2 linked regions of the Mytilus edulis genome follow. The protein of the gene in region 2 interacts with the protein of the main gene of each other region in a biochemical or structural test. Links are inferred from orthologs where the notes say so. Each region holds a gene or a part of one and is shown on either strand. Other genes may lie near its edges. The genes, in order: checkpoint protein HUS1-like and flap endonuclease 1-like.

What was found.
Region 1: the proteins of flap endonuclease 1-like (region 2) and checkpoint protein HUS1-like form a complex in vitro, tested with the Homo sapiens proteins (2 studies listed by BioGRID). The link is inferred for Mytilus edulis from reciprocal best matches to the Homo sapiens genes FEN1 and HUS1.

Annotation. Positions count from the first base shown.
Region 1 is NC_092345.1:33,786,533-33,798,706, reverse strand, and holds the start of checkpoint protein HUS1-like, read right to left. Parts: upstream 5,876-12,174; 5' UTR 5,815-5,875; coding exon 5,763-5,814; intron 4,142-5,762; coding exon 4,014-4,141; intron 3,061-4,013; coding exon 2,884-3,060; intron 2,288-2,883; coding exon 2,180-2,287; intron 1,701-2,179; coding exon 1,626-1,700; intron 351-1,625; coding exon 254-350; intron 1-253. Other genes in the region: IQ calmodulin-binding motif-containing protein 1-like, read left to right, coding at 5,998-6,106, 7,604-7,766, 8,285-8,423, 9,842-9,941, 10,876-10,975, 11,684-11,779. UniProt on the Homo sapiens protein: Component of the 9-1-1 cell-cycle checkpoint response complex that plays a major role in DNA repair. The 9-1-1 complex is recruited to DNA lesion upon damage by the RAD17-replication factor C (RFC) clamp loader complex.
Region 2 is NC_092348.1:96,437,919-96,449,522, reverse strand, and holds the start of flap endonuclease 1-like, read right to left. Parts: upstream 6,047-11,604; 5' UTR 5,976-6,046; coding exon 5,894-5,975; intron 4,208-5,893; coding exon 4,105-4,207; intron 3,088-4,104; coding exon 2,985-3,087; intron 2,402-2,984; coding exon 2,338-2,401; intron 1,784-2,337; coding exon 1,674-1,783; intron 1,031-1,673; coding exon 894-1,030; intron 399-893; coding exon 332-398; intron 80-331; coding exon 1-79. UniProt on the Homo sapiens protein: Structure-specific nuclease with 5'-flap endonuclease and 5'-3' exonuclease activities involved in DNA replication and repair.

The sequences.
Region 1 (12,174 bases), on a different chromosome or scaffold from region 2:
TTGGTGCTATTTTGTGGCGGTCAGATTTTATTGATGGAGGCTGGAGTGCCCAGAAAGAACAACGGTATGTTAGGAAAACTGCCAATCCTAGTCAATTAAGATCGGAGTTTCTAACTCACAACCTTAGTGTTGATTGGAGTAGTTTGACTTATAAGACCACTCAGTCACAGAGGTCCCTCTACTACTATCATGACTATAGAAAGTGGTGCTTTATACTAATAGACAAAACTTACACAATATACATCATACTTACTAGATGGGTTGATCAGGTCTCTGAAATGTGTACTGACTGCTGCCATGTCAGTCTCTACACTTAATTTCATCTCTCCATTCTGATTGGCTGATAGAACCTGAAACAAACAAAAGGATCATTTCAACATCAAATTTCATTTTTCCATTCCAATTATCTGATACAGTCTATACTATATCAAACAAAGGGAGCATTCTTCATAACAATTTGTCAATTGTGGTACTTAAATGGATCTTGCTATTTGAAAAGCTGAGTGGAAATATAACTGGTCACTCAGCAAAACAAAAATCACTGAGATAGCATCTGTGATAACCTGAGAGTTATGTAAGATGTAATATTAGTGAAATATCTTGATTCAATAAGACAATAAGCCAAACTTGGTCTAACTGGCACATCCATAAAACAAGCCCCTGCATATAAAAGGCACTTCCTGATACCCACTACATATTTTTCTCTATAACAGTAGGGGTACTGCCTAACACAGGCAGTGAGAACCATCTCAGTGGGGAAAAAATGGGACTGAAAACCTCCTTAAAAAGACATATATATGAATCATGCATGTAAAATTCAGCTGTGTCAAATCCTGATTACCACAATATAAGTAGTTGGAACTATTACTGTAAATTCAGAAATCATTGCAGAAAATGTGACAGGGTTATAATCTCAATAAATTTAGCTTGCATTTTAATTTTTTTTTAAATGACTGATACAGCATTTTCTTCAATAATGCATTTCAGTCTTAAATGACAAAATCACAATAATAAATGCACACAATAATTTTTGAATTTAAATTAACTTATTTTTATCAAATTTATAATCAATCATTGACCAATTTCAAAGTTGAAATTTTAAACTGCCTTCCCTGGGTCCCATGTATGTTTTATGGAACAGCCCTCTTTTATAGCTATGTGTTTTGCGATTTGCTCATTGTTGAAGGCTGTACAGTGACCTATAGTTGTTAATTTCTGTGTTATTTGATTTCTTGTGAAGAGTTGTCGTATTGGCAATCATTCCACATCTTCTTTTTTTAAACTTAATCAGTAAATTTGTATCCCTTTATGCTTCAATGGCCATTATAATTCAGCTGAATAGAAAAGTTTATTAGATATAAGAAGATGTGGTATTAGTGTCAATGAGACAACTCTCCATCCAAGTCACAATTTGTAAAAATATACCATTCAAGTTGCGTTTATAGTCCCTATTCTGTTTGCTTTGCTCATTTGCCAAGCTATTATTTTCAGTCAATATACATGTTATCTTGAAATAATAACTTACAACAGTTTGTTCTGATTGGTTCCTAGTTGTGTTCTAAAGATGAAATTGGCTTGAATGAGTTGTAAAATTGTGAAAACAAAAATTATATTCCTATATTTACCATGTGATTACTTAGATTCTTCATTTTATCTATCATATTCTTCAGTAACTTCATCTGCGGCATAGCTATACTGACCTGTGGAAAAAGAGAACACTTGTAAGATGGAAGTCTTTTTTTCAAACTAAAATTCATGGCATAAACAAACGTCTGATCTAAATGAAACGAAAGAATTCATTTCTATACCATTTTGTTTTTCATGACCTATACAAAATACCATATTAGCCATTAACCATGTTAATCTTTCAGAATAAGACTTGAATGGCAAATATATGACTGTTACCCTGATGTGTACTTCCTCACAAAATTTGAGACATCCCCACACAGTATACAATGCTAACATGAAGTTTGAAACTGATTTTCAAGAAAGCTTTGATTTATTGGGGCAGAGATAAGTGTGACAAATGTTTCAAGAAACAGAGAAACTGACCGAAACATGTAAGTACAGATGTAAACCTCTGTTTGGGATTGTGGGTCTATAATATATAAACGGTTGTAGTCACCACCGGGTTCTCAGCATTTAACACATGAATAAAATCTGAACAATGAATTCTCACATCAAAGTGTGGAAGTTCTGGTTCTTCATAGTCTTCCCATAATCTTCTGGGTATAACAGAAACTGGAACATCATGGACTACTGTTCTGCTGTGGGAACTGAGGGTTGGCTAAAAATACAATAATAGTTTGTATGATATTTTTACTAGTTTTTTTTTGTTTTTTTTACATGTATTTATCACTTCGTTGTTGTGGTTGTTTTTGTCTTTCAACATTGTATTTACCCTTTATCAATATTTATTATTTTTTAAAATACACATATTTTTCTTATAGTTTTTTTCTTCCTTTTTTTGTCTTTCAACAATATGTTTTATACCTTTCATTCCTGTTTATTGATTTATCTAAATAACCTATAGTGAACAAGAATGTGTCCCCAGTACACGAATGCCCCACTCGCACTATCATTTTCCATGTTCAGTGGACTGTGAAATTGGGGTAAACCCTCTAATTTGGCATTAAAATTAAAAAGATCATATCATAGGGAACATGTATACTAAGTTTGAAGTCGATTGGACTTCAACTTCATCAAAAACTACCTAGACCAAAAACTTTAACCTGAAGTGGGACAGACGGACGAACGAACAGACGCACAGACCAGAAAACATAATGCCCCTCTACTATCGTAGGTGGGGCATAAAAATACTGTACAAGTCATTTGAAATTCTTGAGTTGATAATTGATACTTTTTTGTCTTTTGTCCACCTACCTGATCAATTTCAAAAGTAAGACAAGGGACATGTTTTTTTGTCAATTTAATCTTGATCCACTTGGCATTGCTAGCTGTTTTTAGAGCTTTAACAATATTATCTGGAGCAACCTCTAAGTAAATCTCATTAGCCTCCTTAGAAACTCCTTCCATTGCATATTCATCAAAGAAATGACCCTGAGGAAATAAATAAATAAATAAGTAATTATTTGTAAGGACACTGGCAACAATATTAGGTAATACATTTTTAAAAGACATAGTACATTTCGACCCTTAAAATAGAGTTTCAATAAAAAAACAATTACCATTCAGAATTGGCTTTGCTCATTGTTGAAGGCAATAAGGTGAACCATAGTTGGTCACTTGATGGTTGTCTCATTAGCAGTCATGCCACATCCGCTTAACTTCTTATATAAAACTTGATATTTTACTTGACTTATATTGTATCAACTTAAACAAACTAAATTGAATTGTAATACAATGATGAAGCCACTGTACTGTCTAATTAATGTAATGTTTACCCAACAACAGTTTGCATTCATATCAATATCACTATAATTTTTAAACTTAACATGCTCAAAAGGGTCTCGGAAATGCAAATATGACATGTATAAAGAGCTTGGACTTGACAAAAAAAAAACTTACATCATTTTCAATTTTTGCAGATTTTAGCAAAATGTAGACTTATGTCAATGTATGTTAGGAATATGTTGGATAAAAGAGCATTGAGCAAAAGCTCAAATTTTAGTGTCAATGTCATAATTATCTGAACCAACAATACCTCTTCTCTTGGAATAACTCTTTAAATACAGTTGTGCTCCACATTTTTTTTTTTATAGCATGAGAGTTTAAAACAGTACAGATTTTGTTTAATTTTGCCATTTTATTATGTTTACAGAAGTGTCTGCCATTTATACTGTAAAACCTACTTGAAGGAAGCACAATGTATGTAAACCTTTAATGGAATACTCAATGTTATGATAGAATATGCTTTTACTACATTTTATGATGTTTAATCTGGTCTGAACTTATTTTGAAATAGTTTGAAAATACATTTTGTAATTGCACTTCATTTAATGTTCAGAAAAAAATAGCTTTTCACCACCTAAATATACTGGTAGAAATTTTACCTGAGGTAGTTCACACCAGATCTGGATTCCTCCATTAGCCAACTTTTCAGCAAGTATAAAATACCAGTTACCAGGGGTTATTCTCAAGACACAACTTTTAATTAGTTTTGAGAGAGTTCCTATTACTCCTGAAAATTAAAATGTTTCATACTAAAATAATGATCATGATGATAATAAATAATAATCACATCTACATGTATGCTTCTAAGAAATTGTGAATAAACTGCATTTACACAAAAGGTTTCATAGAATTTCCAAACAATGTGTATTTTAACAAACAACCTGCAGTCCCATGGGAACCAACTGTGCACCTCTTCACGCTGAATTGTAATTTTATTCATCATGTTCATATAATGCTGACTTCAAACAGAAACTTCTAACACAGAAAGAAAGAAGTTTATAATAGCAGTATCCTTAACTTTTCTTTACACTATATAGATGTTGTTCTCTCATGGATCATTGAATGACATTTATTGATATTATTAGAAATTATTAAGATAATAGTGATTGCGTATTTTACAAATGTCCATTTCCATATTGTGTAATTTATTTACCATGACTTGACAATAAAATTTGCTATCATTCGGTAGTGTCAAGTCCCGTCAAAATATATGTTCCTGGTTTGACATTTGTCAAGTTGTACATATTGTAGTGTTGTTAATGTCCCAAATATAGAAACAGAAAACACGTCAAAATGTATTATTTTTGTGACGGGATTGATTCCCTTGGTAAATGAGGTTGAAACTCAAGTCAGCGTAAGTGGTTGAGCTCAGGAAGTACTTCTTTAGGTCATTCAGTATAGGCGTGGTCTTGTTACACTTATAATCGGACGAAGTCCCCTATAACAGTAGAATAATCAATAAAAAAAAAAAAGAAAAAAAAGGGAAAATCTCGCGAAATTTTTACTATACTACAAATGTACTCATGAACTTAAAATCTTTAATTTTTTTTGTCACTTTTTTTAATTCCCCCATTTGCGCAGAACGCAGAAATCTACTTCCTTCTTCCAGTCTTGTTGTCATGTGACTTTGAGTAGTCTAGTAAAATATAGGAACTCAAGGAACACAATACCAATGTCTTTGATATGAATAAACGTTAACTGATGATCACGTTTCGTTGTTTACATTAAACGTGACGTCATAACTTAAATAACGTCACAAGTAAAATCCCTAACAACAGAACCAAAATCGGAAACGTTACGGTATTTCCATTTCTTTTTAACAGATTTTGAAGTAATAAAAAAAAAAATAATTCATACAGACTTCATATAGGTAATGCCTGCCTCATATTAGGCGAGGAATAAACAGTTACAGAGGTGATTGTTAAGAGTCCCAGGGAAATTAATGCTTTTTGGTATTCAATGGTATTAGTAGTAATCAATCCTGTGAAATTGAAACTGATGAAATATGAATAATACCAAACCATATATGACGCATAAAAACATATGATGTACTTATACATATGACACGATGATAACAAAACAATATACCTATATTCAGCTCACAGGCACTAGTTTCTATCCATGGGAAGACCTAGTCCAAATAATTATGACGTCTTGAGTAAGGCGTCAAAGAAAAAATTATAATAGCCTTTCAAGATTTTAAGACTAGGGAAGACCCACTATTTATTTACGAGTTGTCTTCCCATTGATAGAAACAAGTGCCTGTGATTCAGCTGCACATTTGGTGCCATATATAGGATATGTTATTTAAATCTTGATTGAATAAAAAAATATGCAAATGGACTTGCTCGTGAAATGGTGAATACATCCTATATCAACGATTTTCCCTCTAAACTTCATTTTGCTATGTTTAACTAGAACTGTGACATATTTCCCGCCATTCTTACTTTCGTTTTGATGCTTACCGAGTTTGTTTTTATTTTAGACAGCTAGATTTTAAACGTAATGCTGATTCAGTCGCAAGCGCCAAAATGACCATGTAAACAAAATTTTGTGTGGCAAGTTTCAACTTATATTTTTAAAATGTCAAGACAGCCGAGTCCTACCAGAGATAAACGTGTTATCAATTTAGCATCTGAGGTAGCAGAGACACGAGACAGACGTATCCCAATTTTGCTTCTGAGGCTGAAAGGTTATTATAGTCATTCAATTTTGATTTGAACAAGACCAGTCATGCTCAAATATATTACACAAAGATTTAAACCTACATATAGATATAAAAAAAAAATCATTATCATAATCTTCCTCGAAATGAAGATAAATATTAATGTTATTGACTGGGAAATAAGAATATAAAAAGACTATCCTTACTTCATTTTTTTTTGTACTTACATGTATCTGCTTATGATCTGTCTCAGTGTCCATATCTGTACTTGTGTATATGGAAACAAGACATTTCCACCATGGACCCAGTTCACAATTGGTCGATTCCAGTTTAAACGTTTCAGCCATGTACCAATTCTGGCATATGTAAAAATAGTCCGAGATTACTCTGATGTCCAACGGCTGTTTTGCCAGACAAGCTGGGGCCGTGGGACGTCAGAGCTGGTCCCATATCAAAAAGTGGATATTTGCCCACTCAAAATAGATGCGCTGCTTCGTCGCTTCTGATGCCGACTGACGGCCTTGGAATTATATAAATCGGACATCAATCTGTTCATTTTTCATTTATCTCTTCATTTATGTAAGTTTCACCTACCTGCCAACCTTTATTTTTCCATATTTTAACAGTTTTCACAGTGACCCATCGATTTCGGCATTTTGCCTCTCATGTTCAAAGATAATCACGTGACCACGAGAAAACAGTGATGATTTATGCAAATGACCATAATTAATGTAACACCTCTTCAATTACGATGCAAGTTATCTAAATATCCGAGAGCTTCCGATTGTAACATGGTCGGAACTAAATGCGTCATACCGATCTCCTGTAAAGGAGGTGAAAAATCGTGGTTGGCTACTAATGTTAAACATCGATATTTGCATATTTTGAGTCTCGAGACCACGAACTCTCTCATAACTTGACGTCCATTTGAAAGTGAAAGTCAAAATGCCGAAATCGATGGGTCACTGTGAAAACTGTTAAAATATGGAAAAATAAAGGTTGGCAGGTAGGTGAAACTTACATAAATGAAGAGATAAATGAAAAATGAACAGATTGATGTCCGATTTATATAATTCCAAGGCCGTCAGTCGGCATCAGAAGCGACGAAGCAGCGCATCTATTTTTGGTGGGCAAATATCCACTTTTTGATATGGGACGAGCTCTGACGTCCCACGGCCCCAGCTTGTCTGGCAAAACAGCCGTTGGACGTCAGAGTAATCTCGGACTAGTATAAAAAAAGTAGTTTCAGCCATGATTTCATTTTATACTTATACACTGTCTTACACCATAAACAATCATTGTATACATGTACATGTAAATAGAACAATTTGTGTTCTACACATTGGAAACGTTTGGCCCCTTTTTGGCAATAAGTCCTTTTGGCCTTGTCATTTTGGTCCATCATACAAATATGTTTTTCCCCCTAAAAGGTGGCCAAACATCTCAAAAGTGTAGAACACAAAATTAGCTAAAAATTAACATTTTATCATGTATATGTGTATATTTCAAATTTTATTTTATTAGAAATCCTCAGCACAGCTGTAGCTGGAAGCAAAGATGGTATGAGAATTAGGAAAGAAATATGGGAATACAATCTGTTGCAAGCCCTGGTTTTAGTTTTGAAACAAGACTTTTCCATTGTGGATGGAGAATGGCAAATTGCCGCTTCACTGGCTGCTATACTCAGGTATTAATCATTGTTAACTTTATGTAATGAATTCCATCAACTGTTTTCTGATAAAATTGAAAATGGAAATTTGGAAAGTGTTGAAGAGGTAAAAACCTGACCTAAGAGCAGAAAACAGCCCAAGGCCACCAATGAGTCTTCAGTGCAGCAGGAAAATCTATCATCTGGTCCCAGAGTTGTTAATCAAATATATATGTCATTTGGTCTCGGGTAGAGTGTTTTATCATTTGCAATCATACCATATCTTCTTATTTTTATATGAGTCACATGCGTACAAATTATGCTTTAGTTTATAGTAACTAAGGCTTATTTCATTACATATATGATAAATAAATATAAACAAAAAACAACATTTACCCTTGTCACATATTGAGCTAGCTGTTCAGTGTAGTTATATGTACTAATATTGGTGTCAGATTTACTGTTCTGAAGTTTACTTTTATCAAGGAATAGATAATGTTTAAGCAATTTTCTAAATTTAATTTATAATTCACTTTTTCATAATTAACCATTTTTAGTCAAGTGTGTGCAGGCCTAGATCTTCCTAGTGCAGAAGTAAAGAAGTTTGAGGATGAGGTGCTACTTGAAGCTGTCAGCAATATGTTCTTAGTGACCAGGCGTATACAAGCAAGATATGCCAAGATTCCAGACAGAGCTGTAAGTATTGCATCTACGCTAGCCAAGGGTTACGATCCACTCCCTTTCTCTTCACCCTTGGCGGATTGAGCCAACATTTGTGAAAACAATGTTGTGCCATCTATCGGATGATTAAAGTCATTCCCATTCCGAATACATTATTCTTGACCAATGGTAGCACTTGAACTCTTCAATTTGGAGGTAAAAACACGGTAGCGTGTAGATTCTACTCACTTGATAAAGCCAGAAACAATAATATACGTCAACATTCATTCATTTGTGCATGAAACATACACATGAACTTAATCTACAAATTGATTAAAAACATTCAAGTTGTCACTAAATATAGTCGTATGTTTATAGAATGTAAAGACTTGTTGCACAATAAACACGTGGCAATTGTTTACAAACACTATCTACATTTACACGTGATCATGTTATAGGCGCTTTTTCCACTGCAACCAATAAAAATCCTTACCTTGTGTCTCTGAAATTTTATCTCAATCCGCCAAGGGTGAAGAGAAAGGGAGTGGATCGTAACCCTTGGCTAGCGAAGATGTAAGTATTATAAATTCTGAAATTATTGTGTGCATTTATTATTGTGATTTTATTATTTTATACTTACCGGTAAATGCAATTTTAATTTTTAAGATATTGAGAAAAATCCTGTTTAATTCATATAAAATATTTCAAAATGCAAGTTTTAATTATTGCGTTTACAACTATGTCACATTTTTTGCAATAATACAAACCCCTCAATAATTTCTGAATTTTCAGTAACATATTCTTATTGAACAATCATAATTCAGGGTTCTCACTAAGGCAAGTTCATGAGTCCTCGACTCATGAAAATCTGTCTGGACTCACCATTTTCAAAACTGGTGAGTCCAAAAATGCATCAAGAATGAAATATTTTGTTTAAACTGTACACATACATGTATATCATCATTATATAGCAAAAGTTTAAAAGTAATCTGAAATGAATGTCATTGAATTGCTCTATCAGGTCATATAGCAATATCCTCATGTTACTGTTGGACTTTTCAAGGGAAAATTGACAAGTCCCTTGAATTGCCTTAAAAAAATCTTAGTGAGAACCCTGTCATATGTAAACCAAATGAATTATTTGTTCTTAGTGACCAATCATATACAAGTAAGATATGTCAAGATTCCAGACAGAGCTGTGAGTATATCCTAAGTGACCCCAGATAAATGGTAGATCTGATAAATTAAACGTCATGGTTACTAGCTATAGTTGCATACTGGTTCGATAGATATTTTTCATGGCAACTTATATTTAATTTGGAATACAAGACATATAATACTTGGTGAGCAGACTGTACTTTTTTTTAATAGTTACAAATGTATGATTATGATAAATGGTAGAGATTTGCTGTTCTTGAAGTGGAATCTTAAGACTCCTTTTTTTATATTTGTAGGGTCACATGAAGGAAAGAAATAAATTACTTGCATGTTACAGAGGTGTATTGGAATCTATTGTATATTTAGCCTCAGGTCACACGAGTGTGCCAAAAAAAGGTAAATCTAAGAACTTAAGGAAATAAGATTGAGTGTATAGTCATATTAAACAATATTGAATTTGAATGCAGTAAGATCGAACGTTTTCTGTTCAATTAGACTTTAATGGACATTTTTTTTCTAATGCAATCCTTATGTAACAGTTTTTTCATTGGCTGAACTTTACTGTCAAATTCACAATGGGCCTCTTTACGGTAAGTTCAGCTATATTGGATAGGGGGCAGATTTTTTTGAAAGAGGGGTTACAGTATGAAAGTATATGGGAAATCTTATGCAAGTTTCCAAGCAAATGCTCTGTTTATACGATTTTCCCCGTATTTTTCACACCATTTTTACTTTCATTAGGAAAATCTGCCCCTTATCCAATATGGCCGGCTGCCGAACTAGCCGTGATGAGACCTGTTGACATGTCTGGTTCACCGTAATGAATTGCTGGAATCCACAAATGTTTAATTAATACAATGTAATAGAACATATTACAACACCTTAGTACCTTAAAAACACAATTTTCATGAGACATACATTGTATCCAAATCTTAGTCATACAAGTTAAGGGTTTGAAAGTTTTCATTTGAATGACATAATAGTAGATAGATAGATAATTTTATTAACCAATCATGGTGCCCAAAATTTGAGCCATACAATCAAATGAATTACAAAATAAAGCACAGAAAATGATTAGAATGTACCAAAGGCACTCATGAAGTTTTTTGTTATTTATATTTTCATGAAATTAAATATTCACCAATATGTAAGTTTTCCTTAATCCACAAAAATTGGTATATGTAACCCATGAAAATAAATTAATCCACAGTAAACCTTATTTAGATTTACATGTACTATTACTGTTTTATCATTTAATAATTATATATTTATTTATGTGTGCTGTTATCATTGAAGAATAATATTTATTTTAACTGTTTCTATATTGCAGTATTGGAATGTCCATGGTTATTACAATTACTGATCACAGATGACACCGACACAGTTGTAGCTATAATGGATCTCATTCCAAAAATACTCAGGGTTAACAGGTAACTGTAACTAATGATCTAAGGGATCGTAGACTTATTCTTGAGAGGAAGCTCCTAGCATGCTCGGAGGATGCTCAGAGTTTTTTATGTAGGCTATTCTCAGCAGTTTATGTGACAATAATTATCATGATAAATTTAGATGTCAATCAAACCAGTAGCACTTCCATAATAAGGAAAGTAAAGCATTTTAGAGCAAACTCAACTAACACCTGAGTAAACATCTGGCCTATTCAAATAAATTTTGCTTGAAATTTTACAAAACTGTAGAATAGATTAAAACTCTGTGAAAACAAATTTGAAAAAAAAAAGATTGTTTATTCATCCACTCTTAATGCTTGTAAATCTTATGACCTTTAAGTGATATTTTTTTCTAGCTATCATCTTGTATCTGTTTCTGGTATAATATTAACCATTGTAAAAGGCAAGAAAGTGATATAATGATAGCAAAAAATGTTTGATAAGGTGTAGAAAACCTCACAAATCCCTTACTGAAGGAAGTTCAGTTAAAAGGCACTGACATTTAAATTACCGGTACCATTTAATCAAAGCCTTTGTAAATAACTCACTATAACTTATTAAAAAATGAAAAAAATAACAAAGAAACAATACAAATTATTTTTATTGTTTCTTTGTTATTTTTTTCATTTTTTAATATAATTTCAAATATTAATTATGCCAAATCAATTTGTAAATGTTTGTATTTTTCAGAATTGTTCTAAGAAGCTTGAACCAGAAGTTAATTCTCAGTATAATGGATGAATTAATTTATAAACTGTCTGTTAGTAATGAAGTTAGTGTTGGAGCGTAAGTAACCATTCTAATGCAACAACGTTTGTAACGTTCATTTTGATTGGATAACGTCACTTTTTTACATGGCATCAATTGACAATTGACAATTGATGCTATGGCATAGATGCCAACCATTACGATTTTTCCGTAGTTTTTCCGATTTTGCGATAAAAACTACGCTATTACGGTCAAAGTCGAATAGTTACGGATTCCCAATCATCGACGTTCAATTTTGTAAAACGCGGATTTTTATCATTACTTTTCCGTCCTGGTCCAGTATTTAGGAAACGCCAATGTAATGCTTCCGGTTTCTCGGGAGTTATCAACCTATTGTTGGGTAACTAACTGACTTCCGAAGAGGCAAACATTTTATTAAGTAGCTTTCCCCCTTTCTCTACTTCTCCTTGACA
Region 2 (11,604 bases):
AATCATATGCCCTCTTTGGTCCAATTCCTCTGATGGATTCACAATAGTCACAACCAAGTAAAATACATAGATCAATAAACTGAAATTAAAAATTTCAAGCAATTAAACAACGTGAACATTTAGAAGACATGAAAAACTCTCAGCTACAAGAAAATATAAATTTAATATTCAATTCTCTAGTGAATGAAAATTTCAATGACCAAACAAAGAGACTACTTTACTCTAGCAGTTGTCAGACATATCTGAATGCTCAGCATTACAATGCAATGAAATTATTTTTAAATAAAATATTTATACATAAAATATAAAATCCACCAAATATTTTAAATACCTCATCTTTATTCATTCCTAATTCTTCCAAAAGTTTCTGATAATGAAATTCTTTTATAGGTAATTTTCTGAAATATAGATATAACATGTAGATAAATGTACTAATGAAAACAAATGAAAATATTACAAGCAATTAGACCTTATTCTGACGCCATAAGAAAATGTTATCTGCAATTACAATAACAAACCACTAAATATCCGTTACCCTGGCTAAAAATATAAAATTCAAATTTATATAAGTCATTTAAAATAATTAAAGTTTATCATGTATTGTGGGCATGTCATTTGATGCCTGGTGCTCATACACTTTTACAAGGTCAACTCTATTTCCATTCTCCATGTTTGTCTCTTTATTATACAACACAAAACAAATCAGTGTTATTAATGGTAAATAAAATAAAATATAATTAATGGTGTCATGTCTGATCAATGTAGATAATTGTTAAACCCAACTATCTTTGAGCACATTTTTTTTATGTTATTATAATGTTATTGTCAAGATTGACTTAATATTTGCCCTAAAAGGACGGATATGTATGACAAAAACAATTTATGAAGAGTACCTTGCTTCAGCAACTGTTAGATTTCTCAGCTGTACACTGGTTCCAAACGTAAGAGCATCCATATCTTCAGTACCAGTAGCGTATACTTTACCAGCTTTAACTAACACAGCACACTGGGCTTCAGCTTCACCAGGAGCCTACAATACAATTATTATCTTAGACAATACTTCATAAGATTGTCATAAATAACATTGAAAGTCACATCAGAACAATTACTATCATAGACAAACTATGCTCATATTTTATTTCTTTGTTTTAGGTCATGGGGATTTGTTGGTTTTCCATCTAGTCAGGGAATAGGGTTTAGAAAACAACCCATATACCGGGTATATTGGAATCTAAGCTGATCTCTTCAAATATATGATCTAAGTATATACTGTCAGTATAAACAAACTTCTATAATAAATCAAGCTGTAATTTTTTAGTTTCTCCCTATTTGTTAGATCATATACATTCTGAGTTTGCTCCGGTCTTTTCTAATGATTATATAACCTTTTTGGGGGATCTTCAATGACAAACAAATACTATGTGAGATGGAAGTTGTAAATAAAGGTTGAAAAATAAGATACAGATATTTATTTTAAAGTTTCTGATGATTACCAAATTATTCTTTAAAATAGTGTTGGGTATCTGCTGGAAAGTTCCAATTGATTAATTCGAATAATCTGATCACAAAGTACTTTAGAGCTGTCAATTATAAACACTTTTATAACTTATATGCAAATAATGCAGGACTTATCTCTCTATATAGTATTTACATTGATCTTATATTAACTCTACCTCTATAAATGGGACTCCCATCAACTTCAACAGTTCTTTACATTCTTCATTATGCTGCTTTGAAACTTTCACCAGACGACGATTGAATTTTTCTATGTTTTCTTCATCTCCTGTAAATTGTATTAACCTTTGTTAAATGAATAATTGATTTACATATAAAGAAGTCTTTTTTTTAAACAAATATAATTATAAAGTTAAAGAAATTGAGAATGGAAATTAGGAATGTGTCACAGAGACAACAACTCAACCAAACGTCAGAAAACAGCCCAAGGCCAACCATGGGTCTTTAACACAGCAAAAATCCTGCACCTGGAGGTGAGGTTCAGCTGGACCCTCAACATAATGTTTACATCATGCATATATATATACAAAAATAACAAATGTAGTCAAATAGAACTGATGAAAGAAAAATATTATTCTTTCACAATTTTCAACAACTATAAAATGACAATTATTAAAAATATATCTCAAAGCAAAGGACTTATTGTAACTAGTACAAACTAAAAACAATGTTAGATTGGTGTGTATTAATGAAGGAATACAACAATGATCTTAAAAGAAAAACTGGTTTGCTACATTAATGATACTTATAATATTTTTCTCTAAGTTTTTACATTCTATGAAACTTTTTGTGATTATATTACTTAGATTTAACTAGTATTACCTGCTTCCTCTGCTTTCTCTAATGCTTTCTGTGCTTCCTCTCTTCTTTCTTTCCTCTTTTCTAACTGTAAAGCAACATGCATATACATTTTAACAAGGTATAAGCTTCAGTAGTATAATTTAAGATTAGTACTTTACACAGAACTATGTATATATAAAGTAATGTTAATGAGACAACTATACACCAAAGACCAAGGAAAACAACAGCTCATCATGCGGTTTTTAACAGTTTGCAAAGCAAATTGTGTTTTTGATTTTTGAATTCTTAAATATAATTTACTTTACTTTTTACAATTCACATAAAAAAATAGTGTTTTCCTTTAAGCATGGGCGTACCCTGGCCTCTTGTAATTTCTACTTCCATATATATCAAAAGAATTAAGAATGAGATATGCTCATTGTTGAAGGTGATACAGTGACCCATATTTCTTCATTTCTATGTCATTTCGACATTTGGTAAATTGTGGAGAGTTGTTTCATTGGCAATCATACCAAACAATTCTTATTATAAATAATTGTAAAACTTGGTATCTATCCAATGCATATTTTTGCAAAATTTTATTTCGTAAACAATGAATTCTCTCTTAATTTAAATGTCATAACTTATAAATAAACAATATCAAATATATAAATATTATACTGACTAACCTCCCCTGACTTCATGTCTGGAGGTTTGCCATCAAATACATAGACAGGTTTTATGCCATGTTCTAACATTCTGATTGACCTGTAGAACATACCCATCAGATGACTGTAATTGAAAAAAAACATATTCTAATATTTTTTATATAAAATCTGAGAAATTGTAGCCTGAATTTTCATTCTTTTTTTAAATTAACAATGATTAAGGCAAATTTTGAAATTTACTCACAAATATTTATCATCCTGAAAACAACTAATAAATTGTTTCATCTACACAACAACCAGTGTGGATTTTGTTTTTTCCACCTGCCCACAATGGGAAGCCCACCCGTGCCCACTCCAGCTATAATCACTGTTTTTGTAAAAATATTGATAACAAATGCTTATCTGATGTCCACTGTGGACGGATGGACAAAGCAAACTCCACCTGAGCTGTAGTGTATGTTTTTAATTCATAATGAGAAAAATCAATTGAACTTGTATCAAAAACAAAGAAATTGATTGCCTGATACACATGTACATCCTAATGTTCACAATTGTAAATATGACAGCTTTTGTAAGGAGATTCACAACTCATGTGATAAAACACACACTACTACTAGAAGATGTCCGCAAAATCGTGGTACAATTTGGCAAGTGTTGAAACAAAGAGATTTAAATTTCCCTGGGTGTATGTCAACTGTCATGCGCAAAAGCTTATAAGACACAGATGGATAACAGTCTCCGATTTTTTAATATTTCTCAAGAGTTGTCATTTTCTGTGGAAAAAAGTATTGTTTCAATGACAAATTTAGAAAGTACAAAACACTACATATCATGCCTACAAATATTTCCGATTTTGTATGGTTTTGATGGAGTAGCAGCTCCAGTAAATCGGTCACTTCCTTTAGTAGTATAGAATAAAATTGAGAATGGAAATGGGGAATGTGTCAAAGAGAGTCTCAGACAACAACCCAACCATAGAGCAGAAAACTGCAGAAGGCCACAAATGGGTCTTCAATGCACATGATGCAGCAAGAAACTCCAGCACCCGGAGTCCAATTTAAGTTTTGATTCAATTCCGTAGGCATGAATACCCTTATTAAGGAATAATATTTAAAATTTATTTCCATCTATAGAAACTAACCTTGTTGTTTCACCATCTTCATTCATCAACTGGCTGCCATCTTGTCGGACAGCTATAAGAAACTGGTAGATACACATGGAGGCATCAATAGCAACTTTTCTTCCTACAAAACAAACAGGTGTTCAGAGTTAGATGAAATAACTTTCCAAAGAGCTATTGCAGGTAAAAACATGAAGTATATTTTAAAATAAAACAAAAACATGTACTGTGTTAACATCTACAAGTGAAGAGACGTGACAAAAATTCCATGTTTTGATAAACAAAGAGCTGATAGCAATATAAAGCCATTCTGTTTATTCCAAATTAACTTGATCTTAAAGGCATTACAAAAATTATTGCACATTTAAAGAACTGTCAAAATTGGTTAGAGCGTTTTGGAGTTAATGTTTGACATGTTGGCGACGGAGGGACTGACGGACAATGGTATACCATAATGTCCCCTTAATGAGCATATAAAAAGACGCCAGCTAAAGCCAGACTGCTTTATACCTTTATACCTATATCTTCGGGTCCTTAAAATAAGCCAATGGCTTCTACTGACCCCTGATCTTGGAATGTAGCAATGCAATTTCTCATCGAAAATGATCACATTATAATATATTAATATATCTTATATTTATAAAAATAGAACTTATTCAGGTGTGCACAGCTCAACAATTAACATAAACATATAAATTTATACGGGTTCCAATTCTCGCCATTCAAAGTCTTCTTAAAATCATTCAAAGTCTTTGTTAAATCTCCATTTCCATTCTAAATTTTATTTGCTTGAAGTGTTTATAATTTATTGTGACTGCCTATTTGAAAAGTATTTGCATTAAGTCCAGGTCACACCTTAACGGAGAGCGTGAACAGTCGCCGAACCAATAACGTTCTTTCAAACCGTTCATATCAATTAGACATCCGTTTTTTATCTGTTACGATGTCTGTTCATTATTGTTCATTTCCGTTCCATGTCTGTTCAAGGTCCATTTTATCCATTGATGTCCATCCTCTTTTTTGGAAAATTTTGAGAATGTTCAACTGATGCAGTGTCCGATGTACATCCTGCAGGTGTCCGTTTTACACGGTACTCGTCCGTTCTGTGCCAGTTTTGAATCCCTCACCTGTCCATTATTCATCCGTTAAAGGTCTGGTGCACTCATTCCCCATCTGACTTCTACTGGATGTATAACGGATAAAACGTATTGTGAACAGACCTGCATGTTTTTAATGAGCACCATATTGAATGAATTAATTAGTACTTGGGTGGTGGGTCTTAGACCCTTAGTCTTTTTGCAGTCTGCGCATACCCACAAATAGTCAAATTGCCGTATATAGGCTACGATTACCCGAATCTGGTTTTATAATAAAATGGCATTGGATTGGGAATGAAACATGAAATATATACGGAAACTATCGATAGTATGGGGATTTCCATTTATATTTCACGTTTCATTCCCATTTTGATGGCATTCTATTATAAAACCGGATGTAGGAACGCGAAGCTTACAAATGGCAATTTGACTATTCGTACCCCTCTCAAGTAAGCAGAGACACTGCCTTGCATATTAACAATGTAAATGTAGATGTAGATGCTTTACATATTGCTTAAACATGGCTCCAGATAGTTCCACCTATATGAAAATGTTGTATAATTTGAGATCTTACCTGGATTGGAATAAAAAGCGATAAGGTATATGGCAGATTGAAAATAAATAGATTTAAGGGGAGGGGGCAATTAAATCTAGCTCAACAACACTGGTCTCTGGTCAACAAATAGTTAATACTTTTTTTAAATGAATCGCACCAAAATAATTCTTTATCTCTTGTTCTTTCATACAGCCAGGAGCATGATCACCAAGCAATTTTGTCAATCCTAAAATTCCCATGATTAAAAATAAGTGATGAGTTAGCAGCTTTCCCGCCAAATAAACAAAAACAATGATTTACGGGAACCAGTTCTTTCTAAATATTTACGAATAAAAACCAATGTTAAAACTTGTTGTCTGATTCTTTTATATTCAACATGGGAATGCAGTATAATTATTTGATAAAAATAAAACAATTTTGAATGAAGAAATATATTCGATTTTTTGGCTAAAATGATATTGCTGGAAATTTGTACAGTATATCTGTTGACCAACAAAAAGTTTATCAAAATATAACAACACAACGTTCTGCATAAATAATTAATAATAAATAAGCTTTATTTAGAGTCGGCAAAGTATACAAGCAGAGACAACATAAGCTCTAATGAGCTCTTATGAGCTCATTTGCAACATACAGTCTCTTCTTTTTTTATATTTTAACCGACATACAAGACATTTATATCAATACAACACACACAGGCAATAAATTACCGTGACAGCACAAAATGAAGCACTAAAAACATGTATATTAATAATAAGCAGAATATAAGCATAAAAAGCTAGGTATTAAAGCTAAAAGCATATAAGTGTAAACTAGGCATCATTAAATGCTGGTAAAATAAACGGCAGCATACAATATCCCCAAATAGGGTATGCCGATCTAACATGTCTAAATGGTAAATAATTTTAGCATCATATATTAAATAAAAATCTGCACAAACTGTGCAATTACAGCCATTTCCATTCCATGACTTCCTACTAAAAAGCGCCCGGAAGCGCCCGGGAAAAGAAAAAGCGTCCGGGAAAGAAAAAAAGCGCCCGGGAGAATAAAATAATAATATTTTATAATAAAAAATGTTTTCCTGAATAAAAAAATAATCATTGCTTGTTTTGTCCTTAATATAAAAGGGGATACCTACGATGCTACATCTAAAGTGTTGTTGCACTTTTACAATATTTATCTGTGTTTTTGCATTTTTCATTTTGATATCGTTTTTGCAAAACATGTATTTTGATGTCTAACATTTTATAAATTTTTAGCATACAATGATCCATTATTACCTGTCTTTCGAAATAGTATTCATAAAAAATTATAGTATTGTTAAAATTGTTTTATTTCAAATGTCTATTATTTGAATTTGCAAAATACTTGTCAAAAATTTAAAAAAAGAACAATGTGCATTACTTATTTCATCGGCACAAAGTTGTCTCATACCAATAAAAAATCTATATATTTTCCCCGGGCGCTTTTTTCTTTTCCCCGGGCGCTTTGTCTTTACTCGGGCGCTCCCGGGCGCTTTTTTAGTAGGACCCTTTAAAACATATTTAAATTGGCTAAAATAAGCAATTCTCTAAAATCATCAGGTAAACTATTCCATAAAACAGCAGCTGTTTATCTAAAAGAGTTAATAATCAAGAATGTTCTCAATATACAGCTGAAATTTACCCCAAGGAACTTACTTTGAATAAATTAAATGTATACGGTAATATCTGTCCTTTGCTGGATTTAGATATTTCGGTTTTAAACGGGAAACTCCACACTAAAATTTACGACAAGAAAAATCTATTGTTAATTTTCCATTCTAAGATGTGATGTTCCTTTGACACCATCTTACGGTGTTTATATTTCACAGCTCGTTCGCTATGCCCATTTATATTGTGACGTTTTTTATATTAACGAACGCAATCTATGTATTACTGGTAAATTATTAAACCCGGGATATCGTTACCATAAATTACTTAAAACCTTTACTAAATTTTTCCATAAATATAAAGATTTGGTTTTGAAGTTTGCACATCCTCATTTTTACGGAAATCAGTGTTGTTAACCGTGCCCGGAAATTTAGAAATGATCCATGTAAACTTGTCGCTCCTTTAAATAAACTTATTCTAAAAGGTTACCTATTCAACACTGTAATAAGATCATTGAATATTGTTTTTATTGGTATAAATATTGATTTTGTTATCAGAAAATTAAAAGCTAACTAAATATTACTAGTATGTTACCCCTAGTTTTTGGTGGGGTTCGTGTTGTTTATTCTTTAGTTTTCTATGTTGTGTCGTGTGTACTATTGTTTTTCTGTTTGTCTTTTTTATTTTTAGCCATGGCGTTGTCAGTTTGTTTTAGATTTATGAGTTTGACTGTCCCTTTGGTATCTTTCGTCCCTCTTTTATATACATATACATATTCATATTCAAGAATCTGCAATCTGTCAATACCTGTAACTTGACATTGCACAAGGTCATGTTTTTCTCTAGCTGTTTATGACGTCTTTACACTAAATCCATTGGATGTTGGATGTGTACGGATTGATAGCTTAGTCTTAGATATAAAAAAGAAGATGCATGATTTTTTTATTAGTTGTTAGTGGCTTTGAACTAGCTGTCCGATAACTGCGAGTACTCTCAGATCTGTACATTGTGTCTTTTTGTGTCTGGATGTATAAGTACCCGGCCACGTCCACTTGTATTTTTGTCCATCTGATGAGTTAAGCCTTTTTCAACTGATTTTTATAGTTCGTTCTTATGTTGTACTGTTATACCACTGTCCCAGGTTAGGGGGAGGGTTCGGATCCCGCTAACATGTTTAACCCCGCCATATTATTTATGTATGTGCCTGTTCCAAGTCAAGAGCCTGTAATTCAGTGGTTGTCGTTTGTTTATGTGTTACATATTTGTTTTTCGTTCATTTTTTGTACATAAGTAAGTAAGTAAGTAAGTAAAACTTTATTTGGATTCGGCATATTGACAAACAATACAAACATAAGCTCTAATGAGTTTTTCACCGAATATAAAAACATATGCAATAACAAATAAAATAAGGCATGCAGCATGCAATAAATAATAAAAAGCAGCACCAAAAATTAACTTTAAGCAAATAGCATATACATGTAACTTGCAAACTACCAAAACATATATATATATAAGGCCGTTAGTTTTCTCGTTTGCCAATGAGACAACTGTCCACAAGAGATCAAAATGACACAGAAATTAACTACTATAGGTCACCGTACGGCCTTTAACAATGAACAAAGACATTACCGACCGTGCGAGGGCTGAAAAACCAGTCAATGTCGTTAAACACTTATATCATCAAGCCAATACCGCATAGTCACCTCATAAAAAGCTCCGAAATGACAATGTAAAACAATTCGACAACCACTGAATTACAGGCTCCTGACTTGGGACAGGCACATATATACATATACATGTATATCATCATAGATACCAGGACTGTATTTAGAATATACGCCATACGCGCGTTTCGTCTACAAGAGACTCATCAGTGACGCTCGAATCCCAAAAAGTTCAAAATGTCAAATAAAGTACGAAGTTGAAGAGCATGACCAAAATTCCTAAACGTTTTGCCAAATACAGCGTAGGTAATATAATGTGGCGGGGTTAAACATGTTAGCGGGATCCGAAAACTCCCCCTAACTTGGGACAGTGGTATAACAGTACAACATAAGAACGAACTATAAAATTAGTTGAAAAAGGCTTAACTCATCAGATGGACAAAAATACAGTGGACGTGGCCGGGTACTTGTACATCCCACCAACAAAAGACACTAGGAACAGATCTGAGAGTACTCGCAGTTATCGGACAGCTAGTTCAAAGCCACTAACAACTAATAAAAAAAGCATGCATCTAAGACATAATTTTCAATCCGCACACATCCAACATCCAATGGATTCAGTGTAAAGACATCACAAACAGTCATAGAAAAACATGACCTTGTGCAATGCCAAGATACAGGTATCGACAGATTGTATACTAAACAATACTAAACAAATATATGAAAATGCATGAGTTCAAAATTATGGCATTTAAATGAAGACATATGTAATGCTTTACTTTGATATTTACAATATACAGATTAAACTGTTATAGCTTGAACTTGAACATTATATGAGTGTACTTGGTGTCGCAGTTACTGAACGCTAGTTCAATGTCAATAAAAACTAATAAAACACAATATGTTTAAGACTAAAATATTAATCATTACACACCCAACATCCAATGGATTTAGGCAGCAACCATTTGATTTTCGGGGGGGGGGGGATATGGATTTTTTTCCTGGACATTACATGATTACATATAGTGGCAGCTGAGGGTGAAACAAAAAAAATATTTCTCAGGGTCAAAAACAAATTTATTATTTTCTCCAAAAGCAGGAAACAAACTTTTTTTTCCAAAAAAAACCATAGCCCCCCCCCCCCCCTAGAAAATCAAATGGTTGCTGCCTTAGTCAAATATATATAGGAAGCGATAGCTGGCATTGATTAGTTTGTCATAGTGTTCATCTTCGATTAACAAGGCATATATATCTTTATGTATTGCGTTATAGTAATCTCATTTGGAATCGATTTCTTGGGGTATTTGCAGTCAAAGTGCCAATGAACAATAGATTAGTCAATAGTCAATTTTGTGTTAAAAAAAAATTAAAAAAACAATTAATTATAACGTTTAGTGATGCTCAAAAAGCTTTTGATATTGTGTGGCACTCTGGGCTAATGAGAGAGATGTATAAAGGTGGAATGACCGGTGACAATTGGTTACTATTCAATGAGTGGTATAAGAACTTGGAGTCCTCTGTAATGTGGCAAAGTATCAAATCAAAACCAGTTCACGAATTCCAGGGTGTTCGCCAGGGTGGAGTTTGGTCCCCCACTGCCTATAAGGTTTTCATAAACACACTACTGAAACCATTTGAAATGAATGGTCTTGGTGCTCACTTGGGTTCTATTTACTGTGGAATACCCACTGTTGCCGACGATGTTACTCTGATTTCCAACAACCCGTATGAGATGCAAACAATGTTAAATGTCTTGTCTGATTATATAAATAAACATCGCTACATAATTAGTAGCCAGAAGTCATGTACTCTACAATATGGAAGTAAAACTGAACATTTATTTACACTGAATGGTCAACCTCTTCAAAATTCTGTTAAAGCGACTCATCTTGGTATAGATCATGATGTCAATTCTAAATATGGTGTGAAAGATTGTGTACCTAATAGAATTCAGACAGCTAGGAAAACAGTGTATGCCCTCATGGGAGCTGGGCTCCATGGTTTGAATGGACTTAACCCTAAAGTCTCTATGCACCTGGTGAAAATTTATGTGCTACCCAGACTTTTGTATGGATTAGACTCCATAATACTTTCTGTCTCCGATATGAAATTACTCTCCGTATATTACACCAAGCTTTTAAAGCAGATCCAGCATTTGCCAGAGCGCACTTCCACTAGTGCTGTCTACTTACTTCTCGGTCAAATTCCAGTTGAGGCTGAATTGCATAAGCGTATGCTGAATTTTTTCGGAAATATCATCAGAAACCATGGTTCTGTCGAGCGTGATGTTGCTATAAGACAACTGGCTGTAATGCCAAGGGATTCAAATAGTTGGTTTGTCAAAATTATTGACTTAACAGAACAGTATGGCTTACCATCACCACATGATCTTATTAATGTGCCTCCGGGGAAAATCGAGTGGAAAAATATTGTAAGAAAATCTATCTCTTCGTATTGGATTGATCTTCTAAAATCTGCTGTAAAATCAAAGTCATCTCTAAAGTTTTTAAATGTCAATAATATCACTCAAGGAAAAACCCACAATGTCTGGGATAGCTGTGGAACAGAGCCGT